Linked DNA regions of Schizosaccharomyces pombe. Changing the gene in region 1 together with any one later gene gives a genetic interaction. Each region holds a gene or a part of one and is shown in the gene's direction. Other genes may lie near its edges.

The links. Genes that interact genetically often act in the same process or in processes that back each other up.
Region 2: of ubp3 (region 1) and pyp1, changing one enhances a phenotype caused by changing the other (phenotypic enhancement), as found in Schizosaccharomyces pombe (2 studies listed by BioGRID, with this or other methods).
Region 3: mutations in ubp3 (region 1) and vph2 together harm fitness less than expected from each alone (positive genetic interaction), as found in Schizosaccharomyces pombe (2 studies listed by BioGRID).

Annotation. Positions count from the first base shown.
Region 1 is NC_003423.3:3,675,870-3,680,201, forward strand, and holds ubp3 (ubiquitin hydrolase Ubp3), read left to right. Parts: upstream 1-1,779; 5' UTR 1,780-1,843; coding exon 1,844-1,924; intron 1,925-1,962; coding exon 1,963-3,420; 3' UTR 3,421-3,792; downstream 3,793-4,332. Other genes in the region: RNA methyltransferase Nop2, read right to left, coding at 1-708; erd2 (HDEL receptor), read left to right, coding at 4,157-4,178, 4,216-4,332.
Region 2 is NC_003424.3:5,159,611-5,163,923, forward strand, and holds pyp1 (protein tyrosine phosphatase Pyp1), read left to right. Parts: upstream 1-1,901; coding exon 1,902-3,554; 3' UTR 3,555-3,750; downstream 3,751-4,313. Other genes in the region: GTPase-activating protein Gyp51, read right to left, coding at 4,131-4,313. UniProt on the Schizosaccharomyces pombe protein: Plays a role in inhibiting the onset of mitosis. Dephosphorylates sty1/spc1 and wis1/spc2/sty2.
Region 3 is NC_003421.2:66,254-70,042, forward strand, and holds vph2 (V-ATPase assembly protein), read left to right. Parts: upstream 1-1,998; 5' UTR 1,999-2,277; coding exon 2,278-2,700; intron 2,701-2,763; coding exon 2,764-2,982; 3' UTR 2,983-3,226; downstream 3,227-3,789. Other genes in the region: RNA-binding protein Rnc1, read right to left, coding at 1-432; SPOM_SPCC757.11C (transporter), read right to left, coding at 3,388-3,789. UniProt on the Schizosaccharomyces pombe protein: Required for vacuolar ATPase assembly.

The DNA of each region.
Region 1 (4,332 bases):
AGAATAACCGTAATACGCACATATATCATTTAAGAGTTGATCAACATATTCAGAACGATTGCGTCCAGGTTCACACAAATTTTTAAAATCATTCAAAACACGGACTATTTCCTGTATCCGCAATTGAATTTGGCTCAAATCCTGTGGAAGAGTAGATATTGGTTGGCTATCGGTAAAACCATCAATAGGTGGAAGAACAGTAGGAGCCTCAGGATGTATGTTGGTATGCAATTCTTCCTCGGCTTCTTTTTCCTCTAATTCCGCTTCCTCATCAAGTTTGCGAGACATGGCTTCCATATTCGCAAGTTCCAAATCCTCTTCATCTCCAGAATCATCGCTAAACATAGGCTTAACCTCATGCTCTTCATCCGAATCAAAAACAGAATCTTCTTCCTCCCCTTCACATTCTTTAGCCTCATCATCGATAAACTCGTCAGCAAATGTTTGGGGTTCCTCGTCATGTTCCAAGTCTGATAAAGTTTCAGCCTCTTCAAATTCGTCTGCATCAATAAGATCTTTTTCATTCTCAGAATCCGAATTTTCAAACAAAGATTTCTTTTCTTCTGCTAATTGGCGTTTCCGAGAATTTTGTGGTTTTTCTTTTGAATGCTTTCTCTTTTTTGCATTTTCTGTCACTTTATGAGAAGAATTATGATTTTCCTCTAAAGTTGGGGGAATTCCTTGCTTAGACTTCTGTTTTCTTCCCATCTTTTATGGAAAATATGTGATGAAGTCCAAAAACGTTTATTTGGGCTGAGGAAAAATTTTGGCACTGGCATTCTTTCAGTCCAACCTCCACTATTCACATCGCTGAGTTTTGTTAAAAACTTTTACGAAAGATAAAGAACATTAAATTTTTTCAAGCAATACTACACTACGCTATGACATACTATGTTGCGTATCACTATATGCCATATGTTTAAATACTTAAGATCCGTTTATTGATACACGAGGATAAACTATCCGTCTATCTACATAGATGCAACGTTGATAGCAACTTATAGAAATATTATTAATAGAGCTACAGTTGAACTGAGGAACGAGGTACAGTTCCTAGCTGTATCGATGATCGATACTAATAGCTTCCTATAAACATTGTCAGTTAAAAATATACTGCATCCCGCTATATTGTAGATCGCAAGAGAAAATTGCCGCAGTTCTATGTATCGTTAAACAGATATTCAAACTGCATTGCTGAAACACAAAAAGATATACCGCATAGCAACAGCATAGTTAACATTATTAAAAATTCACGACTATTGTTATATTTATCTTTTTTAAAATTTGCTACGTACTTTACTGCTCAGCTTACTTAAAAAAGTCACTTAATTTACTCGTTCATCTTACTTCACCTCCTTGACAATTAATCATTTCAATTATGATCACATTAAGACTTGGTTAACGATTGAATTTGCTGCGGCGTAAAATGAGTGACAATATATATTCAAGACCTATATATAGTTCACACAACAGCAGAATATCGAATTTTAAAATTTACTATTTACTTTTCTCTTTTCGTATCACTTTTGTGGTTTAAGATACATATAGTGGTACTTAGATATGTAAATATACCGTATTCTCTAAAAATAACTAAAGATGGGCATGGACATTCAATAATTAATAATAAAAAAGAACAACTAAAAATAATTAGGAATTTGAGTTAGGCGGTCAAGTGTTTACAGTGGAATATCACCATAATACACTTGGTGGAATACGAAGAATTAACGAGGTATAGTGTATATTAAAAAAAGTTTTGGACAGTCTTTTGAAGAGCAAAGCGAACGACAGCCAACCATCAAATTAGTAAACAAGAGTTCAATCTTGCTAGAGTGTGCGTATTTCCATGCGAGATTTGACCTCTGCAACGGACAGCGCGTCTTTGGAAAGTGATTCGTCACGAAATCAATTTATTATCAATTCACTGGTATGTTTTATTAAAATTGTGATTATACTAACGTTTAGCTACCATGGTACTCATGCTCTGAACATGAATTTCCTCATCGAAAGGCTAGAAAAAGGCGTTCGCCTAAGAATTTAGATTGGTCGGTTTCGGTGCAAATGCCTCTGGTCACATCAAAGACGAAAGAGTCTGAAAAATCGCCTAAATCGTGGTCTGCAATTGCGAAAAAGCATGTTCAAGGAGACTCTCCTGTTAAAAAATCACATTCTGTTCCGGTACCGTCTGACAGGTCTGAGAAAAAAAGTTTCAATTCATCCCTTGGTGAATTGATCGAAACATATTCTCCATCCCTCGATGCACCCCGTCCTATACAGCCTCGGGGTTTTATAAATACCGGAAATATATGTTTTATGAACTCTATTTTACAGGCACTAATGTATTGTGTTCCATTTTATAATTTACTTAAGCAAATTAACCGGATGGTTCCGTATAATTTTGAACGTACAACACCTCTTATTGAATCGTTGACAATGCTTTCTAGGGATTTTAGAGAATATTCTGAGAAATTTGATTTACAAGGAGATTCTATTTTGCCAGAAGTGGTATATTCAGCTACTAAGGGGAATCCTCGATTTGAAATGTTGCAGACCGGCGAACAGGAGGATGCTGAGGAGTTTTTGAATTTGTTTCTTGACGAATTACATGAAGAATTCGTGCGTGAACGTAGACATTATTTATTAAAAAATGACGAAAGAAATCCAAAATCTGATATCAAAATTTCAAATGGTATCAAGTCTGGTTTAGATAGTTTTGATGATCAATCTTCTGTAGAAGCTAGTGGCTGGACCGAAGTTGGTAAAAATAAAAAGCCAGTAATTGCTAGATCTGCTACTGTTGAAAGGTCTCCTATAAGCCAAATTTTTGGTGGTCAGCTGCGCTCTACCTTAAGGGTTCCGAGTGCAAGAGATTCTGTTTTGTTAGAACCGTTTCAACCTCTGCAACTCGACATTCAAGCAGAAGATATACATTCAGTTATCGATGCGTTGGAGCATATGACCGCCCCTGAAATTTTACCGGAATGGCATTCGTCGAAAGGAAATGTTACTGCTACCAAGCAAATGTATATAGAGTCACTTCCTCCTGTCTTGATTCTTCACCTTAAACGATTCTTTTACGAAGCATCTGGCGGTACACAGAAAAATTATAAGCCTATTGCTTATCCTGCTCGCTTGAGTATTCCACAAAACGTTTTCAGCCCTTCTGTTCGTGGTTCCATACATCCGGAATATGATTTGAATGCAGTGGTTTATCATCACGGTACTTCTGCGTCTGGTGGTCATTATACTGTCGATGTTCAGCAACTTGATAAAAGCGGCTGGTTTCGGATTGATGATACACACATTCACCGCGTACCTATTCATGATGTTGAAAACTCCGAACTTTCCGCTGATCCGAGTCTTAGTAAACTTGGTCACGGCGATCGTGTGGCATACTTACTGTTTTACACACGACGCTCCTAGGTCATCTGGATTCCTTCCTCCCAAAAAAAATTAACCAATAAAAACCTTAATTGTTTTGTGTATTCTTCAATAAACAACTCAAGGATTTGAGCTAAAACTGGGGACTACACTTTTTTATAATTCTTTTTGTTTAAAACGTCGGTTAGAAAATTTTATCATATCTTTTTTACATAATTTTCTCAAAAAGGTTCAGCAATTTTTTATTATTTTTTATTTTATGAACTTTAGCTATTTAAGATTACGTTCCCTCTCAATCCCTTTAAACTAATCGGCTTTATAATACAACCTTTCTAGGAACTTACTCCGAATATACAAGTGAATTTTCATTGCAGCTTTAATGCAGTATATATTTTAAAACAGTACCAAAAGTAGGGTCAAGTGGTTTTTATTTTGCTGTCCTATTAGTAGTAGGTCAAGTCCAGCTTCATAATGTAATATTTGAAGTACTATGGCATCAAGTTTGTCACTTTAAAGCCCATTTCTATAATTTTCATGCAAGCTAAACTCCTTGTTTTAAATAAAAAGATTTGATCGTTTGAGAATCTTGATTCAGCGCATTCTAAAGTACGAATATAAATTACAGTTTTTTTGTTGCATTTATTAAACATTTGGCCCCCACTTGCATACCCCAATTATATCTCTGCGCAGTTAAGCCTATTGTCAACACCACTACCAAATTCTTTTTCCTAATACCTGGCGCGTTGAAATAGGCACTCCTTACTTTTATTAATTAATCATGACATTTTTCAGTGCACTGGGTATGATGAATTTCGTCAAAGTAAAGCTAATCATTAGGTGATATGGCCCATTTGGCTGCTATTTTCTTGCTTTTGCACCGAATGAAAAAATCGAAAACCTGTTCAGGACTATCTCTCAAATCCCATCTTTTGTTTCTGCTTGTTTATGTTACAC
Region 2 (4,313 bases), on another chromosome or scaffold:
TCCAAGATATACCTATTTCTACTTCTTCTTCTCTTTCTACATATCGCTCGCTCGTCCTCTCCCTTCCTCCTCTTAACCCTTTACTTGCTCCCAATCCTTTTTATCTTTTGGGTTTCCTGTTTAAACGTTGGGTAAAGTATAAGATTGGATCTTATTTTCATCGTCGTTTTGTTGGATCGTATGAAAAATTTTACCTTGGTTCGTCGCTCAGTCCTTGCTCTGATCGTTTGGTAAAAATCAAAAATCGTTAGACTTGATTTCGTTGACGTTTAGTGCGTTTAATTCTCTTTCTTAGATTTTTTCCTCCATCCTTCATCTCGTCAACAGTTCTCTCTGTTGTCTCTCCACCGCTATACGTAGCTTTTAAAAGTCGTTTGTTTCATTACCTGCGCCCATCTTTTCTTTTCTAAACTTTAACTCAAAGTGAATAAATAGGAAGAACTAGTCTTTTTTCCTTCCATAAAAGAGCACCAGATATATCGTTGAATCGCCGTGCTTTTTCTATTTGCTTCATTTTTTTATCCCGTACGATGCAAAATAGTTAATTTCTTCAACTTTTCTCAACTTTTGTTTCACCACTTCTTTCTCTCAATTGGGTTAGATTTTTCTCCTTTTACATTTTTTTTATACCTCCCTCTTTTTTTTTCTTGTTTCCTTTTCGTTGATATTTTCATATTTTCGGAATTCTCCTTTTCTAGTTATCCTATTTCTCGTTTCATCATTTTCTTTGTCTTTTCTCAAAAAGGTGTACTCTTGGGTTTCTTTCCACAGTGTAGTATCGCTTTTTTTGAACCTTTGAAGAGCTCATATATTCCTTTCCCTTGAGTTTTTCGGATTAAGTTTTGAATTTTTTTCCCATTTTCTTCATTGCTTTACCGTTTGTTTTCACTTCACTTTGGGGTCTTGGTGGTTACTTGTCTATTGTTTTTTTTGTGGGGTTCTGCATTCTGAATAGTTCTGTTTCTTTTTTTCTGAACTCATCTGTCTAAGTATTCACCATTCATTTGGTTTATTTACAGACGTGTGCTCTGTAATTTTCATCCTTAGTTGACCTTACGTTTTTGCTAGTTTGTTGCATCAACGTGCTTTTGGTTCCCCCCTTTAGCTTTGAATACGCTTCTGACTTTTAAATTGGGTTTTCTGTTTTGTAGGAAAATTATTCCATTGTCATTACATTTCAATTAGCCTCTACCTCTTTTCGTTCCTCGATCTCCTACTTGTATACTTTTCTGCACTTTGACAAACTGCAACTTATAATATTTCTTATACCCTCTATCTTATATTTTTGTTCAGTCTGGTTACTGTTTTCGTGCGTGTGCCCTACCTTTTTGCATTTTCTACTAAATACGAAATAATTTCTTAAATAGTGTTGCTTTTTGCAATCTTGCACTGTGCACTCACAAGCAGTATTTTTATTTTCCTCTTAAAATCGCTTGACCTTTGAAGTGACGATTCATTAATCCGTTAATTTTTAAGGATTCCCCCTTTTTATTCTCATATTTGCATAGTACTGATTCAAACCCATTCTTTGAATTGGATACTCCTCATCCCCTCTAAAACTCTTCCATCTTTATTTTCTGCAGAAAGTTTGAATTGAAAAACTTTTTTCATCTCAGACTTGATTTGAATCTTCTCTTGTTTCCTTCTATATTTTACTAATTTTATTGCCAAATTTTGCGTTAATTCTTTCCTTTTTAGAACCCTGGATTTTCCGTAATTTTGATATTTCCTATCCATTCATTATTTTGCTTTCGGCCTTCAAAACTTGTGCTATCCAATATTTGTATTTTATTTAAGAAGTCTGAATTTTTTTTTACTTTTTTACTTTTTTTTTTAATCATCTCTGCTTCTTTTTTAAGGCCAAATATTCTTAATACAAAACATTCATCTAAAAAACCACGATGAATTTTTCAAACGGTTCAAAATCGTCTACTTTTACAATTGCTCCTTCGGGTTCATGTATTGCTTTACCTCCTCAGCGGGGTGTAGCAACGAGTAAGTATGCTGTTCATGCTTCTTGCCTCCAAGAATATCTCGACAAGGAAGCTTGGAAGGATGACACATTGATCATCGACCTTCGTCCCGTATCCGAGTTTTCCAAATCTAGAATTAAGGGCTCCGTCAATCTTTCTTTACCTGCAACCTTAATTAAGCGTCCTGCCTTTTCGGTCGCGCGTATCATCAGCAATCTTCACGACGTCGACGACAAGAGAGATTTTCAAAACTGGCAAGAGTTTTCATCCATTCTTGTTTGTGTTCCTGCTTGGATTGCTAACTACGTAACGAACGCTGAGGTAATTGGTGAAAAATTTAGAAAAGAATCCTATTCTGGTGACTTCGGTATTTTAGATTTAGACTATTCGAAAGTCTCGGGCAAGTATCCATCTGTGATTGACAACTCTCCTGTAAAAAGTAAATTAGGTGCTTTGCCTAGCGCTCGCCCCAGATTGTCTTACTCTGCTGCTCAAACTGCTCCTATCTCTTTGTCCAGCGAAGGCTCCGATTACTTCTCTCGTCCTCCTCCCACTCCTAATGTTGCCGGTTTGTCTTTAAATAACTTTTTCTGTCCTCTACCTGAGAACAAGGACAACAAATCTTCTCCATTTGGCAGTGCTACAGTCCAGACACCCTGCTTACACAGTGTGCCCGATGCTTTTACCAATCCAGATGTTGCGACCCTCTACCAGAAGTTCTTGCGCCTGCAATCATTGGAGCATCAACGTCTAGTTTCTTGTTCGGATCGTAATTCTCAGTGGAGTACCGTTGATTCATTGAGTAATACATCGTATAAGAAAAACAGATATACCGACATTGTTCCTTACAATTGTACTCGTGTGCATTTGAAAAGAACTAGCCCTTCAGAGCTCGATTATATCAATGCTTCCTTTATCAAAACTGAAACTTCAAATTACATCGCTTGCCAAGGTTCTATTTCTCGTTCTATTAGCGATTTCTGGCACATGGTATGGGACAATGTGGAGAATATAGGCACTATTGTTATGCTTGGTTCATTGTTCGAGGCTGGCCGCGAAATGTGTACTGCATATTGGCCAAGTAATGGTATTGGAGATAAACAAGTGTATGGAGATTACTGTGTCAAACAAATTTCGGAGGAAAATGTCGATAATTCTCGATTCATTTTGCGAAAGTTTGAAATTCAGAATGCCAATTTTCCTTCAGTTAAAAAAGTACATCACTATCAATATCCTAATTGGTCTGATTGTAATTCTCCTGAAAACGTGAAATCTATGGTTGAGTTCTTAAAATATGTGAACAACTCTCACGGATCAGGAAATACTATTGTGCACTGCTCTGCCGGTGTTGGTCGGACAGGAACCTTTATTGTACTAGATACGATCCTACGCTTCCCAGAAAGCAAACTTTCTGGTTTCAATCCTTCTGTCGCCGATTCTTCAGACGTCGTTTTCCAGTTGGTTGATCATATCCGAAAGCAGCGGATGAAGATGGTTCAAACCTTCACACAATTTAAATATGTGTATGACTTGATCGATTCTTTGCAAAAATCTCAAGTTCATTTCCCGGTTTTAACATGAAATTTTTGACTGGATTTTTCTTGGCAATATATATTCGTGTTTTAATCGATTCCTTTATTTCTTGTACTTGTAAAGTGTCTTTTTTTTTACATTTGCATTTGAATTTACTGTCAATGTTTGTGAAATTCAGTTGCTTTAATCACGTTGTCTTTTATTTCAAAAAGTATATTTGAGAACTAGGCTTTTTAATGATATCTTTTTTTCTCTTAAATTTTCTTTTTAGAACTTTGTAAACCTATTTTTTGTACAAGATAAAGTCATCAAACTGATAATAACCTTGTATTATTTTCAGATGCTTTTTAAAATTTATTACTCGATTTCTTTAGGCAGAAATATAGAGTTTAAGCGAAGTGGTCGTGATCAAGAGCAATAGAATTCTTTCTTCACTGATTAAAGGTGAGACGATTCATTAAATATACATTCATTTGAACTATCGTTTGTATGTTTTTAAGTAAGACAAACTTGCAGGAACAAAGATTTTTTATAATACACATTAAACGTAACTCAATATAAATAAATTATTATGGCAATCATTAGGATGCAGATATTCCAATAGTACCTAGAATGCTTTTATATTCACTTTGTCTTTATGCGGTTCATAAGCTGACTCCATTTTTGTAAAGCCATCATATGGTCCTCGTCTAAAACGGCCAAGTTAACTTTAGTTTCAGCAAGCTGCTTTTCTTTTCTAAAGATTTCATCTTCGAGAGACTGACTTTCAACCATAATTTCTAAATTCTCAGCAATGATTGCTTCCAT
Region 3 (3,789 bases), on another chromosome or scaffold:
ACTAATAGTTAAAACACGATCATGAACATTAGGAACAGCCTTGGTAACGCCGGCCTTGACATTTGTAGTGCTTCTGAGTTCGGCAACGTTTTTTCCAGCTTTACCAATAATGATACCAGCTTCACGAGTAGAAAGTAAGGCTCTCAAGGTAAGTTGTTGAGTAGCATAGGTGGCATCATCCATCGGTGGCTTGGCAGAGATGGGAGGCACTTGAGACGTTGGTTCGGGTTGGTTGGTCATGGACTGTTGAATAGTAGAACCGTTAGTAAGAGTCGATAGAGGTGTAGAGGGCTTTGGAGTAGGTATGGAAACTTTAGCAATGCCAGTAGCAGTAGAAGTGGTTTCGTCGGGTTCGTCTTGAAACGTTACGTCAAAAAAAGAGTTCTCTTTTTCCTCGATGTTTTTAGGAATGCTGAAGTGATTGTAAGCCATAGATGTCACTGGAATAGTATTGGTTAATTGAATAGGACACATATGCGTTTCTAGGAGGAGAGTAGAACCTTTTCTAAATTACTTCCTGAAAACTGATTAGTTCAAACCTGCAGGGATTTAGCGGAGATTAAAAAAAAAAAGGAAAACGGATTAGGCTCCTTCTAAGCTCTTATTGCAGTTTCTTATAAATTGAAATTGCAATCAATAGCTGTGATTACTTCGACAAAAATGAAGTAAACGACCAAGGAGAACGGAGTAGTGGTAAACGGGGTGTAGCAGTGACAAAGAGAAAATTTTCTGCAAGTAAGTCTTTTGGTGGGGAAATAACGAAGTTTGAAGAACGTATAGTAAAGTCGCACAATTTACTGATAGGAAGTGGTAGCGTAGCTTTACGCCTCAGTCGTTATATCTTTGGAAGTGAAAATGATGAGATTAATAAATGAGAAGAGCATTACAAGAATGGGTTTTTTAAATAATCGTAAATTTCCTAGCTAAAGCTAACGAATGCTGCCAAGTGAAATATCATTCTTTTAGTCAATATAGCAGGTATTAACGTAGTTGTTTTCGTTGGCCTTTGCTTCGGTATATAGGATAGCGTGGTTCAAGCGACTTTGTAAGATCAGATGAAAGATAAAGGGCAAAAACCTAAATAGCGTCCATGCATCAGTGGAACTTTCTTTCTTCAGATTACGTTATATGGTATAGTGAGCTTTGAAAATCGTTGAAAAAATTCGAATTTAATGGTGCAGAGGCAAAGACGATATGGACGTTCGGAAAAATGAAAACTATACTGGAGGAAGTTATCTTTATTTGATTCTGTCTTCGTAATTAAGCTTCCTTCAGCTTCGAACTTTTCATTTCCTAATTCGAATACCTATTTGTTCACCCGTACCTCTTTAGGTTTATATTTGTTCTTGCAAACTGTTCTGCGGCGATATGAATTTTGCTACCCCAAAGTTTACGTAAGCCAAGTTTGTCGTAAATAAATTCGCAAAAAAAAGTACTTTGGATGGTGCAACATGGAAGAATTGAACGCCGTTGAAACGCTGGTATTTTTGAACATGAAGTATCTCAGTATTCAACCCAAAGTCATAAAAATTCTTGAACCTTTAGCTTTCCAAGCGCTGAATGAGCATACTGGGACACATTTTGAAACCATAGACGCAAGTAATAATTGCGTAAGTTATATAAAACTCATAGAGCCAACAAAGCTAGTAGCATTTACTTCTTAATATTATATTGAAATTCCAATAAATAATCTTTGAATATCGTTTGTATGAAATACCCGAGAGCAATTGCGGCGCTAAATTAAACTGAATGTTCAGTTACCAAGATTTATGTCACTTCATAGAAAGATATAATATCACAGTAGCGTGTACCATTCTTCTATACCTCACTGAACGAGGAAGTCTACAATTCTGCTTGGCCTAGCACAGTGTTAGCGAGGGTGAAGAATAAAATTATGATGCTAATTACCAAAACGGTGATTTCAAAAAAAGTTGAGGAACTTTCATATTTTCATTTTTTGCCTCTTATAGGACGCTATGTATTACGTTGCGTAACTTTGACTTTTGCAAATACTTGGATGTACCACTGTCTCCATGTTTGTTTGTTGGTCAATATAAAACGTAGTATTAGACATTAAAATATTGGTTTAATTATTTCATTTAGAAAACTCAATAGAAATTTAGCAAATATCGTCAACCAACCTAGATTGATCCTGTTTCACGCAATTCGGACTATATGAATCGTTTTTGATTGCTTTCTAGACTTCATAGCATTATTACTTACCCTTCTACTTTTTTAATACCTTCGAAATTGTCAAATTGACTCATTATTGCAAAAATGCTGTACAGGCTCTCCGAAAAACAGCAGACAGACTTACGGTGTAATAAATTAACTGTCGATGGATTTGAGCTGGTAAAAATGTTAAAGGAATTACGATTACATAACAGGAATATCAATTTTTTGGAATTTCTTCGAGGTGTACAGATTGTGCCGAGCGACAGTGTCTTCTTGGGCGAAATTGATGAAAACAGCCATACTCAAGACAATACAACTACTTCTATCTTAAAGGAGAAAGAGCTATATGATGGTATTCCTCTGCTTCCATCAATGGCAGGCGTATCCATGGACCCTGAGAGAGAAAAAAAATCAGAGTTACGACTAATGAAAAACCAAATCAGCGCTATAATCAATATACTCTTCACAGTAGTAGGAACGGTGACCGCTGTTTGGTACTGCACTTCATCTTTATCTATTGAAAAGGTATGAATTAAAAACTTTCGTTTTGTTCCTGGGAGACCTTTGTATTGACTTAATATTATTTAGAAAATTGCGCTATGTGCGTTTTCAGCAATCTTGGTTCTAGTAGCAGATACGTTTCTTTATGTCCGCTATCTATCTGCACAACCCGTACGAACTTCAAAGAATCATACTCGACAAATAATATATACATGGACAACAAATGACCCTGTTCTACAGTCAAATGAGCAGCTAGCTATAGAACTGGGAGCCATTCCATCTTTGAAGGAAAAAAAGAACCAATAATTATATTCTTAATTTTTAGATGTTTTATTAACGAAAGTACCTTTGATGTTTTCCTGTAGATGATTTTTATAGGTTGTTTGTCTAATTGATCATAATGGCATACCTCTCTATGTGTTAATTGAAGGGCAGGCACCTATGGGCACACTATAGATAAAAAATAAAAAGTATTTAAGATAAAAAATTCGAACTCATTTGGCTTTTAACGTATATTTCATCAATTAATTTCATTATAATTAAAGATTTAGCAACATTATTTCAATTTAATTAGCCATTTGGTATTAGATTTATTTGTAAGGAACACAACTTACAAATTTATAAATAAACAACAAATCAACCCCCCCTTGTAAAAAAATTAAAAAAAAAAAAAAAAATAGAGAGCAACCTAACCATTGAGTTACCAGTGAATTATGCAAGGCGCAACTTGACCTTAAGTTTCTTCCATATAATCAATAGTGCAAGCACAGACATAACGTTTAATATTAAGCATACCGCAAAAAAAACAACAGGTGAGAACGAGCGAAATGCACCGCCAAAGATAGCACCAACTGTGTCGGATAAGGAAATTGATATTTGCACAGCGACGTTACCTATCAGGTGGTACTTAGGATGTAAAACCTTTGTCAATAAAGAGACCGAAGGGGAATTAGCAATAGAAGATCCAAAAAAAACAAGGGTGTAAATAATAAAGTAAGGTTGTACGAATTCCTTGCCTGTATAGTGAATAGTTATATGAATAACCATGCATACGATGTTTAAACAACAACCCAACAATATGATATCTCTGTCAGTCAAGTAACGCGTCAAATA